Caenorhabditis elegans: one gene and its partner. The protein of the gene in region 1 purifies or fractionates together with the protein of each later gene. This does not show direct contact. Each region holds a gene or a part of one and is shown on either strand. Other genes may lie near its edges.

The links. The genes of interacting proteins can lie anywhere in the genome.
Region 2: the proteins of tpi-1 (region 1) and got-1.2 fractionate together in Caenorhabditis elegans (co-fractionation; one large-scale study listed by BioGRID). This does not show direct contact.

Annotation. Positions count from the first base shown.
Region 1 is NC_003280.10:12,033,793-12,044,599, reverse strand, and holds tpi-1 (Triosephosphate isomerase), read left to right. Parts: upstream 1-5,460; 5' UTR 5,461-5,467; coding exon 5,468-5,785; intron 5,786-6,008; coding exon 6,009-6,110; intron 6,111-7,022; coding exon 7,023-7,346; 3' UTR 7,347-7,765; downstream 7,766-10,807. Other genes in the region: ippk-1 (Inositol-pentakisphosphate 2-kinase), read right to left, coding at 103-490, 1,437-1,534, 1,595-1,618; cyn-16 (Spliceosome-associated protein CWC27 homolog), read left to right, coding at 7,865-7,906, 9,217-9,352, 9,483-9,556, 10,350-10,760. UniProt on the Caenorhabditis elegans protein: Triosephosphate isomerase is an extremely efficient metabolic enzyme that catalyzes the interconversion between dihydroxyacetone phosphate (DHAP) and D-glyceraldehyde-3-phosphate (G3P) in glycolysis and gluconeogenesis.
Region 2 is NC_003284.9:16,788,850-16,799,656, forward strand, and holds got-1.2 (Aspartate aminotransferase, cytoplasmic), read right to left. Parts: upstream 4,278-10,807; 5' UTR 4,264-4,277; coding exon 3,866-4,263; intron 3,678-3,865; exon of another isoform or gene 3,601-3,677; coding exon 3,230-3,600; exon of another isoform or gene 3,183-3,229; coding exon 2,874-3,182; intron 2,825-2,873; coding exon 2,676-2,824; 3' UTR 2,498-2,675; downstream 1-2,497. Other genes in the region: aak-2 (5'-AMP-activated protein kinase catalytic subunit alpha-2), read left to right, coding at 7,240-7,382. UniProt on the Caenorhabditis elegans protein: Biosynthesis of L-glutamate from L-aspartate. Important regulator of levels of glutamate, the major excitatory neurotransmitter of the central nervous system.

The DNA of each region.
Region 1 (10,807 bases):
CCTATATACCTTTGAAATTTATATTGATTTTAATGCCCCGTCTAGAAATTTGGGTGATATCATTTTTTTTCAAGATTTGAAGCTATCGAAAATTGCGCTTACAGTAATAGTAGAGCTATGCCCCGAATCCATGACAGTCATAGGTAACTGTGTAGCATCTAACATTTGCAACGATGTCAGACGCTTCGGATTCGTCACAATAACCGATCCATGTACCCTTTGGAATGTGTTCAGTGGAAAGAATGAGTATTCATCGGGTAATTCGAATAAATCCTCGAATTTTTCAATTTTCTGATTCGCCGGAAGGCTTGGGATCTTCGCGAGCTGATGTACGTCAACTGTGTCGAATTCGACGATATTCATGTCGACTAGGTATTGATCGGAGAAGAATGGGGCAACTATTCGTTCCATATAACTGTTGACGAGCTCACTGCGAGCTTTTACAGTCATTAGACCACTTTTTCGAGCTTTTGCGAATCGCCATACTATCCTGGAAAAATTGGGGGGTAAATTTTAGTTTTTTAGGTAAAAATTGGGAAATTTTGTGAAAAAAACAAAGTTTTTCACAAAATTTCGTGTTTTCCTCATTTTTCTCCTTTCAAATTTGGTAAAAATTATCGAAAAACACAAAAAAATCATTTTGAAACGCTAAAACTCAATATTTTTCTCAAAAATTTGAAATTCCCACTATGGGGTACGGTAGCAGTCATTTTCAGCTGTGTCCGTTCATTTTTTTCGATTTTTTAAAGAGGTTTTTGCTCAAAAAAAAATGGAAAAACGATGTTTTTTCTCAGTTTTAACCGATTTTCAGCCGAATTTTTGACTTTAAAATTTTTTTTAATTTGAAATTCCCACTATGGGGTACGGTAGCAGTCGTTTTCAGCTGTGTTTGTTAATTTTTTTCTTAGTTTTTGAATTTTTAAAGTCAAATTTAATATTTTTTGGCTTGAAAAACATGAAAAATCTTAATTTTTAACGGAAAATTAGTATAAGAAACTTTTTTTAAATATAAAAAAAATTGGAATTTCCAATTTTTTCATGTTTTCAAGTCAAAAATTCAACAATTTCGGCAGAAAATCCAGAATATTAATTTAAAATTTTTAAAGAAATCGCTAAAAAAATTATGGGCACAGTTGAAACTGACTGCTACCGTACTCCACGAGGGGCATTTCAAATTTTTTAGAAGAAAAGTTAATTTTTTACGTTTCTAGACCAATTTTTTGTGTTTTTCGTGAATTTTTTCAGACTTTAAAGGAGAAAAATGAGGAGAACGCGGGTTTCTATCAATTTTAAGTTAAATTTTTTTTTTGTTTTAAAAACTCGATTTTTAATGGTTCCAATTGAATTTTTTGGGAAAAATCGAATTTTTAGCTGAAAAACCTGGATTTTTACGTATTTCTCCAGTAAATTCAGAAATCCATCAATAAACAACATACCTGACTCCAGAAACCCGATGCCTGGCGCTAATAACGAAATTCGCGCGCCCTTCGCCGCGAAAGCAGAATGATCGATAGTCACGGGGCTCAATGAGCACCTAAAAATAATTTTTAATTAATTTAAACCTTTTTTTAAAAGAAAAAACACAAAAACTCACAGTTGCAGGAGGATTAATCTGCATTTTCGGGTGGTTTTGGTGAGTTTTCAGTGAAAAATTGCAGTTTTTAGCGGGAAATTTTTAATCGTAGAGCATCTGAAAGAGGAAAAAAGGGATACATATAGTTGCGATGATTCACTGGGAGGACGGGAAAAAAACAAAAAAAGGAGAAAAAAAAACCAGAAAATCCTCAACATCACTATTACGAAATTATCTATTTGTTTTTTTTTCTGCGCGGAAGCCGTGGAGACGCAGAGAAACTTGGTAATCAGATGACGAGATCAAAATGTTGGCCGAATGCCAAGAAACCTTGTGATTTTTGATACAGGTACACAAAGAACTATCTCTTTTTTCTGGCAGCAAAAGAAAGAAATGACGTGTTTTTTCGCAATTTTTTGGTTGAAAATTGTTTTTTTTATTGAATTTCGTGCTTTGTTTTGATGATAAATCATAGAAAAACGAAAAAAATGATGGAAAATGGGGAAAATTGAAAGAAAAAGGGGGAAAAGGGGAAAAGGGGAAAATGAGAAAATAAAAATAAAAAGAATTATTGAGACTCCGCGATGGGGATTCTGCGGAAACCAACCCCGCGGATTCAGCAGGACAATTTGGAGTATAGCCATTGAAAACCTGATTTTTCATTTTAGATTCGAATATATTTTATCACACATTGTTGATTTTAAATACTAAACTATGTGTATCCCGCCCAAATTAAAAGAAACCCGCTGAAAAACTAGACGAGACCACTTCTCCAAAACTTGAATTCCTTGTGACTCGCAGCAAGTGCGCTCTATCGAGCGGCTTAGCTGCGTGCCAAACCACAGGAAATCGTTCATTTTTCACTTGTTTCCGGTCATTTTCCGCCGTTTTTTCTGTTTTCCTGCTCAATTTAGCCTTGTTCTTTGATTCTTTATCGTGTATTTTACTATCTACACTTGCGGGGGCTTTGATAACGGGGGTTTAGTGGTCGGAAATTTTTTTTTCGAAAATCGTTCGCCGGAAACTCAATTTCAAAATTGTTGGTTTTTAAGTTTAAGGAGTTGTTTAAGTTCAAAATGCAACTAGAAATTGAAAAAAAGCTCCAAAGTAACTAAATAAATATAAAATTTGTCAAATAAATATTTAAAAAAATTAAATTTCTTAAAAAATACATGCATTTTCGCATAAAATCTAGTGTAAAGGAGCTGGAAATGATCAAAAACCGATTAAAAATGACGTTTTATCGATTTTTGCCCAAATCTTCGCAAAAAGCGTGTGTTTTTCTTCAAAATAGCGGAGACTAAAAATGATGATTTGGACTAAAAATGAGCCGGAATTAAGCATTTCTACAGGAAAATCGTTCCAAATCGTGAAAAAATATCTAACTTTCCAATAATTAAGCTTAAAATTCACATTTTTCAGCTAAAACTATCGAAAAAAATACGATTTTAGGACAAAAATGCCGTTCAAAATGCAAATTTTATATGAATTTCCGCTCAAAAATTGAGAAATTTATGATCCATAACACCACGAGCAGCTGCAAAATTTTCCAATTAATTTCCACCAAAAAATGCACTTTTCTAATCAGAAAATATCTATTTTCGAACAAAAACTATGTTTTTGTTATAAAAAGTGTCACGAGGTAGTGGAAGTGATCACATCATATTTATTTGGTTTTCTTTCGACCGAAAAAATGAAAAAAAAATGATGTTGAACTTACAATGAGAGGCATTTTCGGGGGCGAAAAATCTAGAAAAAATTGTTTTTTTAAGCCTGATAATCTGATAATACTTCTAAGCTGCTGTGGATTTAACTATAAATCTGTAGGATAAAGGTTTTCAAAATTCGAAAAGCGTATGATTTTTAATGCTTAATTGTACCATGAAGAAGCACCAATAAATGGGCGGAGTTTGGCAATATATGGGCGGTGCTTTGCGAAGATTTAAATTTTCGAAAACGTCATATATAGAAAATTCGAATGATTTTTAGCTGCATTACTGCAAATTGAACTTAAAAATAGTGACTTTTTTTTCAAAAATTTCACAAAAATCCCGTCCATTTATTAATGTTTTGGTAAAAAATCGAGTTTTCGCCAAACTGCGACGTAAACGCAAAAAACCAATAAAAGGGCGGAGCGTTTTTTTGAAAAATCACTGTGATTTTAATTTCATTGTAATTTCTGATGTTTTCCAACATATTTTCCTGTAAATATATATTACTGGAACAAAATACTATGAGAATGCGTATTGCACAACATATTTGACGCGTAAAATATCTCGTAGCGAAAACTACTGTAACTCTTTAAATGACTACTGTAACGCTGGTGTCGATTTACGGGCTCGATTTTTTGAAATAAATAGAATATTAAAACTAAGCATCCATTTTGAAAATCGAGCCCCGTAAATCGGCATAAGCACTACAGTAGTCATTTTAAGAATTACTGTAGTTTTCGCTACAAGATATTTTGCGCGTCAAATATGTTGTGCAGTACGTATTCTCTGAATTTTGTGCTCCCGTAATAACCCTTCCCAATCGAATCTATCCACAAACACTCTTCTGCCATTCACACACACACACTACTCAGAACATTACAAAATACGTGCAAACTCGGACTGCGCCTTCTCTCTCCGTCTCTTCATTGTCTACACTGTATCGTCTCGTTTCTCTCGACTGCTGCTGCTGGCCAGCCAAAAAAAAGAAAAATAAAATCGAAGAAACCCCGCTATCTCACTTGTTGTGTAGTCTTGATTTCGATTGAAATTTGTTTCGAAAAAACAATGTCGAATTCGATTTTCCATTGTTATCTCTCGTCCTTATCAAACGTTGGCTATTGATCACGATTTTCGAAAGTCATTTGCGTCATTTTTAATTTTTGCCTAGACTCTAGAGTATCGACTTTTCACGATTTTCTTGTCAGTATTCTTGTCGAAAAGTGACTCGAATTTAATGAAAATTTGTCGTGTCGAGACCGGGTGTGTCTCAAAAATCGTAAAATTTCGCCTCTGGCTAATTTAGTATTCATTGGCAAATGTAAGAAAGGTATATAGTTCAGCAAAAATTCCTTTTGTGTTCGACTCGAAATTATCTGAAATTACCGAATTTCATAATGAAAATTCTTGAAAACTTCTCAAAAAAAGTTATGGCGGTACAAAAAATGACCTGAAATTAGTTAAAATTTGAAATTTGACCGTCTTGTCAAGCGGCTGGATGCTAACTTTTTGAAATCATCGTCTAATTATGGGTATATAAGTTAATTATCTTGCGTTTTCAACTCGATTTAGGTATATTTGAGGTCGATTTGTCACCAGATTTGGTTAAATTTGGTAACATCTGGGGGATACATCGAGCTTAAATGTACCAAAATCGAGTTGAAACTGCAACAAGAAATTAACTTGTATACCCAAAATTAGACGGTTATTTCAAAAAAGTTAGCCGCTTGAAAAGTCGGTTAAATTTCAAATTTTAACTAATTTCAGGTAATTTTTTGAGCCGCCATAACTTTTTGGAGGAGTTTTCAAGAAGTTTCATTATGAAATTCGGTGTTTTTAGACTATTTCGAGACTACTTAAACAATAAAAAACGTTCGACTAGACCATCTTTAGATAGTTAAGTTTTTGCTGAACTATATACTTTTCTTACATTTGCCAATCAATACTAAATTAGCTAGAGGCGAAATATTACGATTTTTGAGCCATACCAGGTCTCGAGACGACATTTTTAAAAATTAAATTTGAGCCACTTTTTGAAAAGAATACAGGGCAAGAAAATCGGGAAAATCGATACTCTCGGTTTCACAAAGAATAGCAATTCTTCTATCGTTTTCTCCTCCTTATTCTGAATTTCTATCCAAATTTCCCTCCAACAAAAAAATTCCATAATTCTTGTAGAATCAAGATGACTCGCAAGTTCTTCGTCGGAGGAAACTGGAAGATGAACGGAGACTATGCCTCCGTCGATGGTATCGTCACCTTCCTCAACGCCTCAGCCGACAATTCCTCCGTTGATGTCGTCGTTGCTCCACCAGCTCCATATCTGGCCTACGCTAAATCCAAGCTTAAAGCCGGTGTGCTTGTCGCCGCACAAAACTGCTACAAAGTGCCAAAGGGAGCATTCACCGGGGAAATTTCGCCGGCAATGATCAAGGATCTTGGATTGGAATGGGTGATCCTCGGACACTCGGAACGTCGTCATGTCTTTGGAGAAAGCGATGCTGTTAGTTTAATACATTTTGATTTGATCTTCGAAAAATTCGGGAAAAGATCTTCTCGAGACGCAGACTTTTCCACTGATTTCGCAAGAGTGTGCTGACGTCACATTTTTCTGGCAGAAAAATTCCCGCATTTTTTGTAGATCAAACCGCAATGAGACAGCCTGACACCAAGTGTCAATAAAAAATTCGAGTTTCAGGGAAATTAATCTGAAATTTCTTTTTCAGCTGATCGCTGAGAAGACCGTGCATGCTCTCGAGGCTGGAATTAAGGTCGTTTTCTGCATTGGGGAGAAGCTCGAGGAGCGTGAAGCCGGACACACCAAGGATGTAAGGGAGCAAAATACTGGAAATTATCGATTTTTCGCAAGAAAATTTGAAAATTCAACATTTTCAAACTTTCAGATTTTTTTTCTTAATTTTTTCGGGTAGAAAATCGATTTCTTCTAATATTTCAGTAGAAAAATCAAGTTTTTGAGATTTTTTGAAAATTCCAAAATGGTTTTGTTTCGAATTTGCACGTTTTTCGGGAATTTTTCAAAGTTTCTTCTTAAAAAATCCCTGAATTTTATAGTTTTGAGCTCAATTTTTCCTCAAAAAAAACGCAATATTTCTCTTTCTGCAACGAATATTAGAAATAATCGCTTCGAGACCCGATTTTTATGAATTTTCGTGAATTTTGAACAGAAAACATTTAATTTTATCATTTTCCAAAAAAGCGGAAAATTCCAACAAAAAATGGTCGCCAAAAATAATTCTTTTTTTTTTTGCCAAATTTTCAACAAAAAAATTGGTTCCGGCAATAAAAAAGAAAAAACTCCTGAAATAGTCGTTTCGAGACCCGATTTCTTATGAATTTTCTTGAATTTTGCAGAAAAGTTCAAAAAAAAATCTCCGAAGAAACATTTTTATTTAAAAATCTTCGAAAAATCGATTAAATTCCCTATTCCACGTGGTAAAACAAAAAAAGTTCAAAAATAATCGCTTCGAGACCCGATTTTTTAATGAATTTTCGTGAAATTTATATAAAAATACAAATTTAAATTCCCAAAAACGCGAAAAATTCAAAAAAAAAAAAGAATCCCGAAGAATATAAAATTTTCGAAAAATCGATAAAATTTGAAACAAAAAATTCCTGAAAAATAATACCCAATTCCTTATAAATAAAGATTTTTTTTAATGTTGTAGAAAAATAAATTTCAAAAATCGATCGCTTCGAGACCCAAATTTTCCAATTTCCAGGTAAACTTCCGTCAACTTCAAGCCATCGTCGACAAGGGTGTCAGCTGGGAGAACATTGTGATCGCCTACGAACCAGTTTGGGCCATCGGAACCGGAAAGACTGCTTCTGGAGAACAAGCCCAGGAGGTTCATGAATGGATCCGTGCATTCCTCAAAGAGAAGGTCTCACCAGCTGTCGCCGATGCCACGAGAATCATTTATGGAGGATCTGTGACTGCTGACAATGCGGCTGAGCTTGGAAAGAAGCCGGATATCGATGGATTCTTGGTCGGTGGAGCATCGTTGAAACCCGATTTTGTCAAGATTATCAACGCCAGATCTTAAATTATTATTTATTTCCCCCTATTTCACAGATTTTTCCGGATTTCCACTGATTTTTCACCGATTCCCCTAAATTTTGGTCGTAAAATTGGTTGATTTTCATTGATTCCCCTAATTTTTAGCCGTAAAATTAGCTGATTTTTCCCGGAATTTCAGCTTCAAAATTGTAGAATTTCCCTTAGTTTTCCCCAATTTTCCCCCAGATTTCCTCTAAATTATATTGTAAAATTAGCTGATTTTCATCAATTTTCCCGGAATTTTGACCGAAAAAAATCCAAAATTTGGGTGAATTCGTGAATTTTTTGGCTTGAAATTTGGCTTTTTCCTCTCTACAGTGTAGATATTAGTAGCAGCTTTTTTTTCCAGTATTTTTGATATTCAAAACCTATATATATTTATATAAATAAATTTCTTGCCGACAAATAACAAAAAATCGATATTTTCAAACAATAGTTACTTGTTCTGTGTGAATATTTCAGCCGGCGATTTTCAGATTTTTGCGGAAAATTTTCAGTTTTCAGATGAGTAATCAATATATCAACGAGCCGATTACGACGGGAAAGGTAAAATTATTGATTTTTATCGATTTTTGGTGGAAAAAATTGAATTTTCCAGAAAAAATGACCGAAAATTTCAATTTTTATCGATTTTTGAATAAAAATCGAAAATCCAGTGAAATTTTCGATTTTTCCGATGAAAAATTCGCGTATTTTTGCAATTTTTAAGCTGTAAAACGAAAATTTTGAGTTTTTTTTATCTAAAAATTGGCTAATTTCGAAAAATTTTGGATAATTTATTGAAAAATACGACCAATTTTGCACTTTTTGCGCCAAAACTACGTTTCCTGGTCTCGACACGACAATTTTTGTTTATTGCAAAGAGGTGTGCGCCTTTAAAGAGTACTGTAGTCTTGAACATTTTTTTAATCAAAAAATCTATAAAAATTCGAGACTACAGTAATCTTTAAAGGCGCACATCTTTTTAACAAAAATGTGTCGCTTCGAGACCCTAGGTACCGTAGTTTTGGCGCGAAAATCGCAGAATTCGTCATATTTTTCTCTTTTTTTTAAATTAAATATCCGAATTTTTTGAAATTTGTCAATTTTTAGAGGAAAAATCGAAAAAATATGACGAATTTTGCGCTTTTCGCGCCAAAAATACGGTATCTATGGTCTCGACACGACGACTTTTTGTTAACTGCAAAAAGGTGTGCGCCTTTAAAAAGAGTACTGTAGTCTTGAACATTTTTTTAATCAAAAAATCGATAAAAATTCGAAAATTTTTTATCCAAAAACTACAGTTTACTATGAAAAATTGATGAAAATTCGAATGTACAGTAATCTTTAAAAGCGCACATTTTTAAACAAAAATATGTCGCTTCGAGACCCTATGTACCGTTGTTTTGGCGCGAAAATTGCAGATTTCGTCATATTTTACTCCTTTTTAAAAATTAAATATCCGAATTTTTAAAAAGTTGTCAATTTTTAGATGAAAAATCGCAAAAATATGACAAATTTTGCGATTTTCGAGCCCAAACTACGGTACCTAGGGTCTCGACACGACAAAAAATTTTTGATTGCGAAAAGGTGTGCGCCTTTAAAGAGCTGTAGTTGCAAACTTTAAAATAAAATTACAGTAATCTTTAAAGGCGCACACGTATCTCAATTAGCAATAATAAAAATTCGTGTCGATACCCTAGGTACTGTAGTTTTGGCGCGAAAATCCCAAAATTTTGAAGAAATCGAAACAAATTGAATTTTCAAAAATTAAATAATTTCGAAAAAGCTTTAAAAAAATGTCTTTACCATAATAAAATCAATTAATTATTCAATTTTCTTCAATTTTACTTCATTTTTAACTAAATTTCTTGCAGGTAACCCTTGAAACCACTGCCGGAGACATTGAAATTGAGCTTTGGACGAAGGAAGCTCCACTAGCATGCAGAAATTTCATCCAGCTTTGCATGGAAAATTATTACAAGGGAACTGTATTTCATCGGCTTGTCAAAAGTTAGTAAATGGCGAAAAAAAATTAACGTTAATTTTTTAAATTTTAAAATTAAAAACATTTTTAAAAATCAAAAAAGAAATTTTTTTTTGCAAGTTTTTTTCAAAAATTTCCAAGAATTTTTTTTTGCAGATTTCATTCTCCAGGGTGGAGACCCTACGGCAACCGGAACCGGCGGAGAGAGCATCTATGGAAAACCATTTAAGGTTCAAAATTTGCACTTTTTTTTTGAGAAATCGTTTAAAAAATTGAAAATCCCAATAAAATTCAAATTTTCTTTAAAAAAATTGTCATAAAAAATTTGAAGCTATAATTTTGTATTTTTTCAACGTTTCTTATGAGTAAAAACAGATTTAAGGCCTTCTCATACAAAAATTCCAAAAAAAACCGAAAAATCAATTTTTAGTTTAAAAAAAAGTTAAATTTTTGGGTAAAATAATTAATTTTAAATTAAAAAAAAATCAATTTTTCTTTCAGAAATATTTTTTGTCAATTTTTTAGTTAAAAAAAAACAAATTTTAGAAAATTAATTTCTTGTTGAAAAAATCAATTTTTCAAAAAAAAATCAATTGTTTGGCCAAAAATATTAAATTTTTAGGGGGAAAAAATTAATTTTTTATTTAGAAAAATATGACAAAAAATCAAATTTTTCTGTAAAAAAATCCATTTTACAAAAAATAAACAATTTTGGGTAAAAAAAATCAATTTTTGGCCAAAAAATTAAATTTTGACCAAAAAAAATCAATTTTTGGCCAAAAAATTAAATTTTGACCAAAAAAAATCAATTTTTTGGGTAAAAAATTTAATTTTTTCGGAAACAAAATCAATTTTTCCAAAAAAACATTTATTTCAGTCTAAACAAATCAATTTTTCAAAAAAAATTTTTTTTAGTTTAAAAAAATCAATTTTAGTTTAAAAATCAATTTCTGGTCGCAAAAAAAGCAATTCAAAAAAAATCCAAAAACTTCAGATTTTCACTCAAAATTCCAAAAATTCCAGGATGAAATCCACCAACGTCTAAAATTCAACCGCCGCGGAATTGTTGGAATGGCAAATGCTGGACGAGACGACAACGGTTCCCAATTCTTCTTCACAATCGGTGATCGCGGAGCTCCAGAGCTCGACAAAAAGCACACAATCTTCGGAAAAGTGACCGGACCCACACTTTTCAATATGCTTAAAATCACAGAAGTTGAGACTGAAGGCGATCGACCAGTGACATTTTATAAAATTACTGGAGCACGAATTGATAATAATCCATTTGATGATTTAAAGCCACGGGAAAAGAGGAAAAAAGAGAAAAGTGAGCGGAGAAAAGAGCCGAAAGTTGTGGAGACGAAGAAGACGAATTTGTTGTCATTTGGAGATGAAGTTGAGGAGGATGAGCAAGAATTGGCCGTTTTTAATAAGGTTTAGAGCATTTTAATGAGGATTTTTTGTAAAATTTCCGTGATTTA
Region 2 (10,807 bases), on another chromosome or scaffold:
TCATACTAAGAACTTGAGCAAGAAACTCTGCTCCAACACATATGGCACCTGTACCAGAGATGCACTGAACACTAAATGATCTTCCCTCTTTGATAGCCAAAGAATCATTTCCGAGTAGCAAAGCGGTGGCTGATTTGCAGAATCCATCATGTCCAAGAATCGGTAGGTACTCATGATTGTGATGAGGCTCGTGAGGGAATTTAAGTTCGATTTCTCGAACCACTGGCAAAACCCACGGCTCTCCATCTTCCGTGCGATAAGCTTCTATTGCAAGATTTATTTTCACAGGGCAAATTTCTTTCTGGAAGAGTTCCGATGTATGGAGCTCTTTGATTGGCGAAGCAACATGAATTCCATCAAAGAAAGATAGCCGCATATTTTAACTGAAATTTATTTGCTGTTTAAGCTTAGATAACATTAACCCTTAGCCTAAGATGGACAAAAAAGTCACGTAAAACTATGTATAAGAATGGCCACCATTTCTGGGTCAGTTGAACTACACAAGTACCAAAAGTTGAATAGTTCCATGCATAACACGAAATAGAAAAATGGGAGTTTTTTGGAGCAGGTGGCGATAAGAAAACGAAATTTTAATTTATAGCTGACGTTGAAAAAAACTCTTGAACTCAGAAAGTGCAAGAAACAAAATTTCTGGGACTGCAAATTCAGTACATTTTATACTTTGACTATAAAACATTTTTGTAGCTCACTGTCTTCTGAAAAAAAGAACTGGGAGTACTTTTTTTCCTTAGCGCAATCCTGTTTATATACGGTTGCAAAAATCGTTATAGCGTTCGCAACATGGTAATTTTGTTCAAGAATCAAAAAACTGCGGTACTAAGTTTTTTTTTTTTTTAGTTTATTTTTTTTTAGTTTTTTTATTTTTTTAAATTTATTTAGTTTAACTATGTAAAGTTTTTCTGTTCGTTTGAAAATGAATTTGTGTTCCTGATTACTTCCTGGCACGTATTCACATTTTCATGGTGAATCGAGTCTGGTGAAGATGGGCGTACCCACGGTTCGACATGTTGCTGGAATTCTCGTGCTTTTTGAAAAATGAATATGCCGTTCTATTAATTTTGTAACCCCGTAACAAATGAAAACCGTTTTGTAACGGGGTTTCTTAGTAATAATATTGGGTATAAGTACAACAATAACAACCATAATAACAATATAATAATAATAATAATAACAATAACAATAATAAGTACAACCGCTTGATAATTGAGTTTGCCATTTTTAGAGCAATGGAAAATATTACATTGTCATTTTCTATTTATTAATTGTTATGATCAAATAAAACCTTTTTCATCCTTCCCATATTCATTGGTAATGATTACTCTATTTTTTTCCATAAAACAACTACTTGATGAACGATGTTACGGCGAAACACGAAGGTTCGAAAAAAACTAAGACAGCTTAAAGTGCATTGCAATAAAAAATGATTTATCACTTGATTGACGTTGATAAGAAAATAGAAGCCTACCTCAACTTTGAATACTCCGGGAAATGAAGTTCGTGTAGATGAGAATGCGAAAGTTTGACGTGGTCAGTTATAGAATTAAATCAGTTTTTCAAACTGTAGTAACAAATATTAACAGCTGCTCGAAAAAAAGTTTTTAAACATGGTGCCAGGTGGTCAGTAATACACTGTATTTTGAAGCATATGACAGAAGTTGAAACACTTTTTTTTCAATTAACTACAAGAAAATTACAAAAATAAAATAAAGCCTAGTGATGATTAGTATTTGCACCATATATCATAATTGCTTGAACAGAAAACATTGTTCATAAATCCCCGCAATTTTTTAACTGTCTTTCACACTCCGGGTCATCGAAGTTTGCAAGACGTAAGCTTTTCAGGTAATGGAACACTGATGTATCCTTACCTGTACACGTGATTTCAGAAAGTTGGAGAGCCGTTTTTGAATTGGTGCTCCGTTCAAATTGACTCTAAAAGTTATTCACGAAATCCACATATAGTTGAATGTTTTTTTAGTATTGTGGAATAATTTTAAAACAATTATTCTAAATACTAGAGAACCATTTTTAGTACAAAACTGATTATTTTATCCCATCCCGTTGTACAACGTAACAGAAAAGCATAATTTGAAAGTTTCTCGGAGCACACTTTCAATCCAATGAACTGTAAAGAAAATTGTTGTAACAAGATTTTTCTCAAATTTTGCCACATGACTTCGAGGAGACTGAAAAATTTTAACCAAATCGACAGGTGTCTAAACAATAGATAGATGGCAAATATTCTTAATCTAAACTTGGGGTGACCAGAATTACAAACTTTGTAACAAAATGTCGTAGACTTTTCGCACAACAGTTTTAGTTTTATTTTTGTTCCGGCAATTCTGATGTTCCTCTTGCTTCCATATGCCAAAAATCCGCTGCTTCATGCATTATGGCAGTGTATCCATAATTGTCGCGGTTAGGAGCGAATATTTTATGAAATAGTTCCCCAAGTAAACGTCCACATCACACGGATAATAATAGCAATGATTCATTTTCCATTCAAGAAAAAAAAGTAATCGGGTTAAAATAAATAAAAGTACACACGGGAAATTAAAACTAAGTGCATAGAAATACTCAATCTACACTTAATGCTCAAACTTGAAGAGCACAAAAACTCAATTTTTCACATAAAATTCATAAATTTCAAAGCTTTAGATGTTGCTCTTCACGGCACGCACAGTCTCATCAATCGCCTTGGCGACATATTCCACGTTTTTCGTGTTAAGACCACAAATGTTGATGCGGCCGTCTCTGAGCAGGAATACTTTGTGATTGGCAATCAGGTGATCCACTTGGGCAGCTGAAAATTAAGATTGTCCTCATCAGAGTGTTAAAAAAAGCAAACTCACAAGTAAGTCCGGTGTAGCTGAACATTCCAATTTGTTGAATGATGTGATCCCAAGTTCCAGGAGTGCCAAGATCCATCAAATGGCGCAATAAGGCGGCTCTCATCTGCTTGATACGAGAAGACATCGCTTGAATAGACTGGTTCCATTGTTCACGGCGAGCTGGGGTGGTGAGCACCTTGTGCACAATTCTTGCTCCATGTGCTGGTGGATTGGACCAGTTGGCACGGATAACCAACGACATTTGAGACTGGAATCCGGCAATGACAGCTGGATTGTTGACGACGACAGTAAGGTTTCCGACACGCTCGTCTGAAATTTTGAAGTATTTTACTTTTCATCTTCTATTCAAAACTTACTGTAAAGTCCAAAGTTCTTGGCAAATGATTGGGACACAACCATCTCCATTCCCTGGTCTACAAAGTAGCGGATCGCCCAGGCGTCCGCAGCTGGATCACCAGATGCGAATCCTTGGTAAGCAATGTCAAAGAAGGTGAAGAGGTTCTTTCTCTTGATCACCTCGGCAACCAACTTCCATTGCTCCTGAGTTGGGTCCATTCCAGTTGGGTTGTGAGCACATCCGTGAAGAATGATGACAGACTTCTCTGGGGCTGACTCAAGATCGGAGAGGAACTTCTCAATGTGCACACGTTTGTTATCATAGTCCCAGAAGGTGTAGTCGGCGACGGTGGTGAAACCAGCCTTCTTGAAGACAAGCTTGTGATTTCCCCTGAAAATGATAAAAATTCATGATTTGATGAATTTCGCCCAGCATTATCAGAGGTTCAGGAAAAGTACCTTACACCTCTTTGAAAGAGCCTTGCTGAAACTCATTTTTTACCTAGATTACCTAGGTTTATGGTAATACTGCCAAGAATTGGGCGGCTATTTTAAGAAGTTGAAGTTCTGGTTGACTGCTACTCACTCTGGCCAATACAAGACTTGTTATATTTTATCAGATAAGTATGTTTGGCTCCGATTTTTCGACCACTTACCATGTTGGGTTGCTCACGTAGACGGTCTTCATGTTACACACTGAAGCAAGAAACTCGGCTCCAGCACGAAGAGCTCCGGTTCCAGAGAGACACTGTACTCCAAACGATCTTTCCTCCTTGATAGCTGGCGATTCGGCTCCGAGGACAAGCTCGGTGGCAGCCTTGCGGAAACCCTCGTGACCGAGAACTGGAAGATACTCGTGATTGAGCGAGGTGTCGTTGGCGATTTCGACTTCAGTCTCATGAACGACTGGAAGCACCCATGGCTGTCCCTCCTCTGTGCGGTAGGCTCCAATTGTCAGGTTAACTTTGACGGGAGCCGTCTCATCGAGGTACATCTTGTTCTTGTGGAACACCTCGATTGGTGGAGCAACTGGGATTCCGTCAAAGAAGGACATGTTGAGTGTTGTTTCTGGAATTAAAAAAAATCAATAAGTTTAGTTATAGAAATTGAAGAGATGAAAAGAGTGGCGGTATGCCGCAAAACGCGATAATGAGGTGTATTTATATAGCGAAAGAGATCAAAATCGAAAAATGACCACGTTAAAAGGAGGTCACCTCATCGACATTCGAGAGGATTTACTTGGAAACAAAAAACGTTTTAGGTGTTTCCAATAAAAATCGATTTGATGATAAAAATTATTATACGATAAGAAACGTAAAACTTTCTACTTTCTTATTTTAGCACTCAAGAAATCAACAGAAACGTGTGTTGATAAGACTACGGGCCCAGTTTCAAGACTGAACTAGATGGTTACTTTCTATTGCACCAAAGTCGACAGTTCACAACAAAAGTTACAGGAAATTTTGCCTAGTTTTCGGACAAATTGAGGAAAGGGGGTCTCAAAAACGGACTGCCTCTTCTCGACAACTCTTTCTCGTCGGCCCGCCCTCCAATAAGCACACACTATTTCCGAGAAAACAACACATGCGGGTAGAAAACGAGAGGCAGCGTTGTTGTTTGCCAGAGACGTTTTTCGAGACGTGACCATTTTGAAAATTTTTATTTCGAGGAAAACGTGATGGCAAGGTGGAGAGAACGGGCAAAACGCAGCGCAATGAGATCGAAATGTGTCATTTGTGAGGGTTTCAAAGTGTTCTTTGATAAGGCAAATTACTTTTTTGAAAATTGAAAAAAAAGATTGGATATTTATCTAGGTTAATGTAATAAGATCCTAGGAATAAATGAAATTATATCAAAATTCCCTCACCAAAAATGAAAAACTATTTTTTTTTTTGAAATTTTCTAGTGGAAGTTTTCTTCTGTTTTTGCCTATAGAAAAACCTTGAAAGAGCTGATTTTTTCAAAATCCCTTTACAAAAGGAATCAAGGTTAACCTATACAACTACCTCGTGAACTTCAAAGATTCAAAAACCAAACGACCACTTCAAAAATTATTGGCAAAATGACCTTTTGAAATGAGTGATGGTGCGAAACCGCCTAGATAAATAAATATAACAATCTCACGTGGCCAGGCGGAAAAACATGTTTATGTAAATTTTCGAAACGAAAAATAATCGGTTTTCTTTTTGGGGTGATGATGGCGGGACATGATGAAAAGAAATGGAACAGTATACACGAGAAAATCCAAGTTGCTGGGTATTTAGAAATATGGATGAGAACTAAACAACATTCCGCCCGGTAAACGCCTTTGAATGAATGAGAAGTAAAAATGAAAAAAAATCACAGAAAAATATTCACCGTAATGAGAATTTGCATACAAGATTTCCGGTAGAAAGAAGGGTGAGAGAAGAGGTAAAGAAAAAGGCGATAAGAGGCGCCTCCGGGCCGCCTTAAAGCCTCAATTCTACGTGGCGAAGTTCTCAACAAAGTTTTGTAAAATTTACGACAACTAAAAATTTTTTCAGCACATTCTGATTTATTATTTTAGTCACCGACTTTAATGGGTGGCCTTTAATGATTTTGAAGTTAATTTGAAAATTTTTAAAATCAATAAAGATGAACATGGACATGGATTTTTCACAAAACTAACAATTAAGAGGCAACAAAAACAAACATAATGATAGTTGTTAGAAAAATGGAAATTGAACAAAAATTTCAAAAACAAAGAAAGCAAGTCAACAAGTGTCTAACGAAGAAGTAAACTTTTCTCATCACTTGGACGCCGAGTGTGCTCAAAACCATTGTGCTCCGAAATATGACACTTTTCAACTCGTCCCATCGTTCAAAGTTATTATTCCCTCTCATTTTTTTTCCCGCGCTCTCGTTGGCTCTCGTATCATGAGCTCTCGTTGACAAGTAACTTTTAAGTTTCAAAATTTATCTATAGTTGTTAAAGTATAATGTTTTCCTAGAAGCTGTAAGCTTGGCAGGTGACTTTCCCTGCGGGAATTGCGAAAAAAATAGAGACTGAATAAAACGCATATACTGTTTCATATTGTCTGGCACGTGCCTTGTGGCAGGAGGTATACCAATACACTGCCCCGTTCTGATCCGATTACTTTGACAAAAGTCGCCGAGTCTGATACTCACAAACAGTAGCGTCAAGTGAGGAGGGCTCACTTTACCAGAATTTATTATGAATGTTTCTGGTATCATCACATTGTTTCAACTTTCCACGCGCTGTTACATTGCGTTTTGAATCGATTTTTTGGTATTCTGCCAAATATAGCTTCAGTGCGTTGCACTCGAGCATCTGAACATATTTGCTTTTTGTTTGGCGAGAGGAAGGAAAAAGCACTGAAAAGTGCTTAAAAATCGTTTTGAAATAAGGATTAGTAACTGGATTAGAGCTAGAGCATTAAGTGATATTAGGCAATTTTTGTTATTTCTAAAAATATGGAACTATGCGGGTGGAATTTTTTGTTCACATGAACGTGTCAAAAAAATTGTTAATGTTCATACCCTCATTTACATTTCCACTTTTATGGCATTTTGGAAAAAGATGGCTATATTCGCCCTGTTAGTTTTAGAAAACCTTTTCCACTAGATATTGAAATTTCGAAGTGAAGTTTTCGCTTTCATCAAACATTCTTCGAGAGCTAGCTTCAATTGTTCTCCTTCATTTTTTCTATTGCTTTATGTTGCATTGAATAGCTAAAAAAAAATTCAAAAAGCTATCCCTTCAAAAAAAGAAAATTCGCTGCTTCTCGACGTGAAAAACAATGAAAAAAGTGTTCGGTGAGTACTTGTTCTATTTACACAGCAAACCTTTTTAGCAGCCGAGCTGTTAGAAAAACCAAAAAACGCCACCAAAATATGCTTATTCACATTTTCCGTCATCACCATCGCCGCCGATTTCTGCGCATGACAAAGTGGCTTTTCTCTCTTTTTTTGGATTTCAAGGTCTAACATTGCCGTTCTAATGCCCGTTTTTTAGGTTACATTTCAAAATAACCGACTATTTTCAGAAATGTTTTCTCATCAAGATCGAGACCGCGATAGGAAGGAGGACGGTGGTGGAGACGGTACTGAGATGAAATCCAAGAGTCGGAGTCAGCCAAGTGGACTTAATCGCGTGAAAAATCTTTCAAGAAAGCTATCGGCAAAGTCAAGGTTAGTTTTTGAGGGGTTTTCGGGGGGTCAAGGGAAGTCAAAAACCGCAATTCTAAAATTTTGCGATGGGTAGCCACAGAAGGGATGTTCTTTTCATTTGAAAATGTGAAAAAGATTAATTTTTTTTAAAACCACACTGATGAGTTTAGTGAAAAAATTAAACATGCTTCTAGCGCCTCAGCTAATCAACTCAGATTTTCCGTACAAATTACTTTAGTATTACGAAATATTGAAAAATTCATCGGCCCTCAGCAAATTAGATTCCAATTCGGGAAAATACTGAATTTTCCCTGAATTCCGTGTTTTGTCTGTGTGAATTAAAGATTGTTCACATTTAAAATAACGTACCAAGGTTTTTTTTTGAAAACTTTCTAGATCACTAGTTTTTGAAAGACTAAATATTAATTTTCAGCAACTTTTTGTAAACGCCCATTACGATTAGCAAAACAGAAAAAGATAACAGCAAAAATGTTCAATGCAAAAACAAAAGAAAAGAGACTGGAGCCTTAATGCAAAACGAACAATGTGGGGGCCCTTCCCGAATAAGTGAGCCGCGCGGAACGCTGCCGCCCTCCACTAAACAACGCGCGGTACGATACTCCGTTCATCGGACCAACTTCCCCCCTCTTTACCTAGTTGGCAACATTTTCTTCGTATTCTCACGGATTCTCCTCATTCATTCCGCTTTCAAACCCAATTTCCGTGCATTTAGCATTGGAAAAACACGTGCCGCAACGTATCCGAAAATAGTGTGAGACGCAGACGGCTGGCGCCCCGCGTGAGGCGACCAAAAGGCTTTTCTTCTTTTTGTCCTCCGTTGAAAATCATGGTAAATTGAGTGATCTCGTTTGCGTATTTGTGTGTATGAGAGAGTGTGAGTGTGTGTGTGTGTGTGTGTGGACACGCCAAAGCTTGATGGAGTCACATGTATATCATGAAAAACACAAACAGATACCACACCAACGAATCTTGAACCTTGAGTTCTTCCGCCAGTGTTCATTTTTAACATCTCTTCATCGTTCTGCAAGGAGACCTGTCAAAATTTCCAACAAAAAAAAGAGTTTCCCATAAATTAGGAAAATTCTGATAGGTTCGGAAGTTTTCCGTGAAGTAACTGAATATATTTTCAATGATCACGAGAAGGCAATTGAATAAATGTTAGTTGGAAAATTTTTATTGAGCTTCTAGATTTTGTTGTCTAATATTTGAGCCTCAAACTTTTAATATAGGTTATTATTTTTTATTGCAGCCGACAATTTTTTGTGGCAATTTATATACAAAAGCATAAATATCTGAGATGCTTAGTTTCATAGAAATTCAGTTCAAGAGGCTTCACCGTATAATATAATATATTCTTGCTGAAACTACAGGAAAATTTAGTGGGAACTTGTGAAATTTGAAAGCTCCCAGATTCGATTTTGTCATTCTTTTATGCAATGCAAAAATTATTTTTAAAAAACTGTTTTCGACATTTTCTCATGATTTGTGAAAAAGTTTTTTTCTCAAATAGAAGTTAAGCTCATTTTTCTAAATAGTTTTTCTAAACCCTGGATTGTCTCAAATCCGCTGTAGAAAAGTTGAAGCGACTGACATCTTATGAGCTAAATTTTTCCTGAGTTTTTGAAATAGACTACATCTTGATAATTGAACATTACAGTTTGACAAAATTTATAAAAATATTGATCAGTTGGATTTTATTATTTTTCTGTTGTTTTGTTCTAGCTCCAGTAGGGTGGATATTTTTCAAAAATCTCAAATTTTTGTGCAACTTCTATTAGTACAAATATAAAAATATTTCAAACGTGCACTTTTTGAACATGGACATACGTTAAATTTCCAATATAAAGGGCAAACTTTCAGCTGAGTTAGGAGAATATGAGCAGCTGTTAATCACATAAATCTAACAAAAAAACCACATGTTCCAACTTAAAATTGATTTCAAAATTTTGTGGCCAAAATGAAACCCTACGATGTCAGCCGAGTTTACTTTTTCAAAGTGCAGTTAGAAAAATTGTCTCAATTTTTTATCAGTGGAAACGTTTTTGGTAGTCTCACTAATTTTAAAGTTTAACTCGTTTTAGTAGAAGTCATTTAAAAAATTCAAAAATTGCGGTGTAACAGTTCTTTTAATACTTTTTCAAATGCCATAAATCGTCTGTAATTAATTTTCTACCAACTTGACAATTTCAATTAGTAAAATCACAGTTTTAATGCATAACTTTTTGATGCTAGTCGTATCAAATTGTGATTATTGTTGTTATCTTCACCACTTATATTACGAGTGTATCAAATTTCGATGACACAATACGGCTATTATTCATTGAGCGCTTGTGTTTTCTCTATCGTCTCCACTGTCTGACCTTCGATGATGTTTTTCTACATGTTTTTTTGTTCTCTCAAAATAGATGTTTCAGTTCCTCCAACCTTTTGAAAATCTGTAATTGGTGTTGATTTTGGAACCTTTCCTATTGTCTCTTCTACCATTCATATCCGGCACATTTATGTCAAAACACTGACTGCACCTGCTGTTTTTGAAATTTAGTGTCTGGTGTCTGGGCGGCAGTCATAAGACCTGATGGGCATACGGTTTTCCTAGAGACTCCTACTGCAATGGTCATTCTGTGATAAGAAGTTGCTTTTTTGTTTATCCATTCAAAATTACCATCCAAAAACCACACCAGTTATCAATTTTTAAGTCTTTGAGACCCGTAAAATCAATCAATCATGTCCACATTGCACTTTTGCCTGTAGAAAAACGCGATTTTCGGTTTTCAATCTTATCTCATTTCTGGTTTTCGTTCCCATTTGACTACTTGTTGTCAATTTTTTAGGTTAGGTCTAAATAAATATTAAAGATTTTTTAAAAATTTAAATGAAAGTTCAATTTCTTCTTTCTATTTTTTTGTTCCTACCTACCAACGCTGTTTGCGCCGGAGGACGATAGACATAAGGAAACGAACACACGGGATGCCTTTCCCTTCTATTTTTCTCCTCTTTTTCTCTATCTCTCGCCATTGCTTTGTGCTGTATGGTCAACTCTCGTTGTCTTCGCTGTGCGTGTGTGTTTGTCTGTTGTTAGAAAACGAGGAAAATTGTGAGAAAGAGTGAGCGAGGAAGATCGAGAGAGAAGAGTGTGCGTGTGAGAGGTGTAGGGGTCGCGAGAGTGTGCGGGAGGTTGGCGGACCTTTTACCACATTTTCGGCCAAAGGAAAAAAGGCATCGATCTTTGTTGGTTGTAGTTCTAGACATTTTTTGTTTCTGCTATGTTCTCAAAACACCAAAACTTGTTCTTAGATTTCTGATCTTTGAAAAATACATGCTCTTTATACACTTGTTTTTCTCGTTGTTTTGCTATTTGCAGGAGGTTCCTCGTGACTGTATTTATTGATTTTTTAACTGAACAATTATTCTGAGGAACTTGTGAA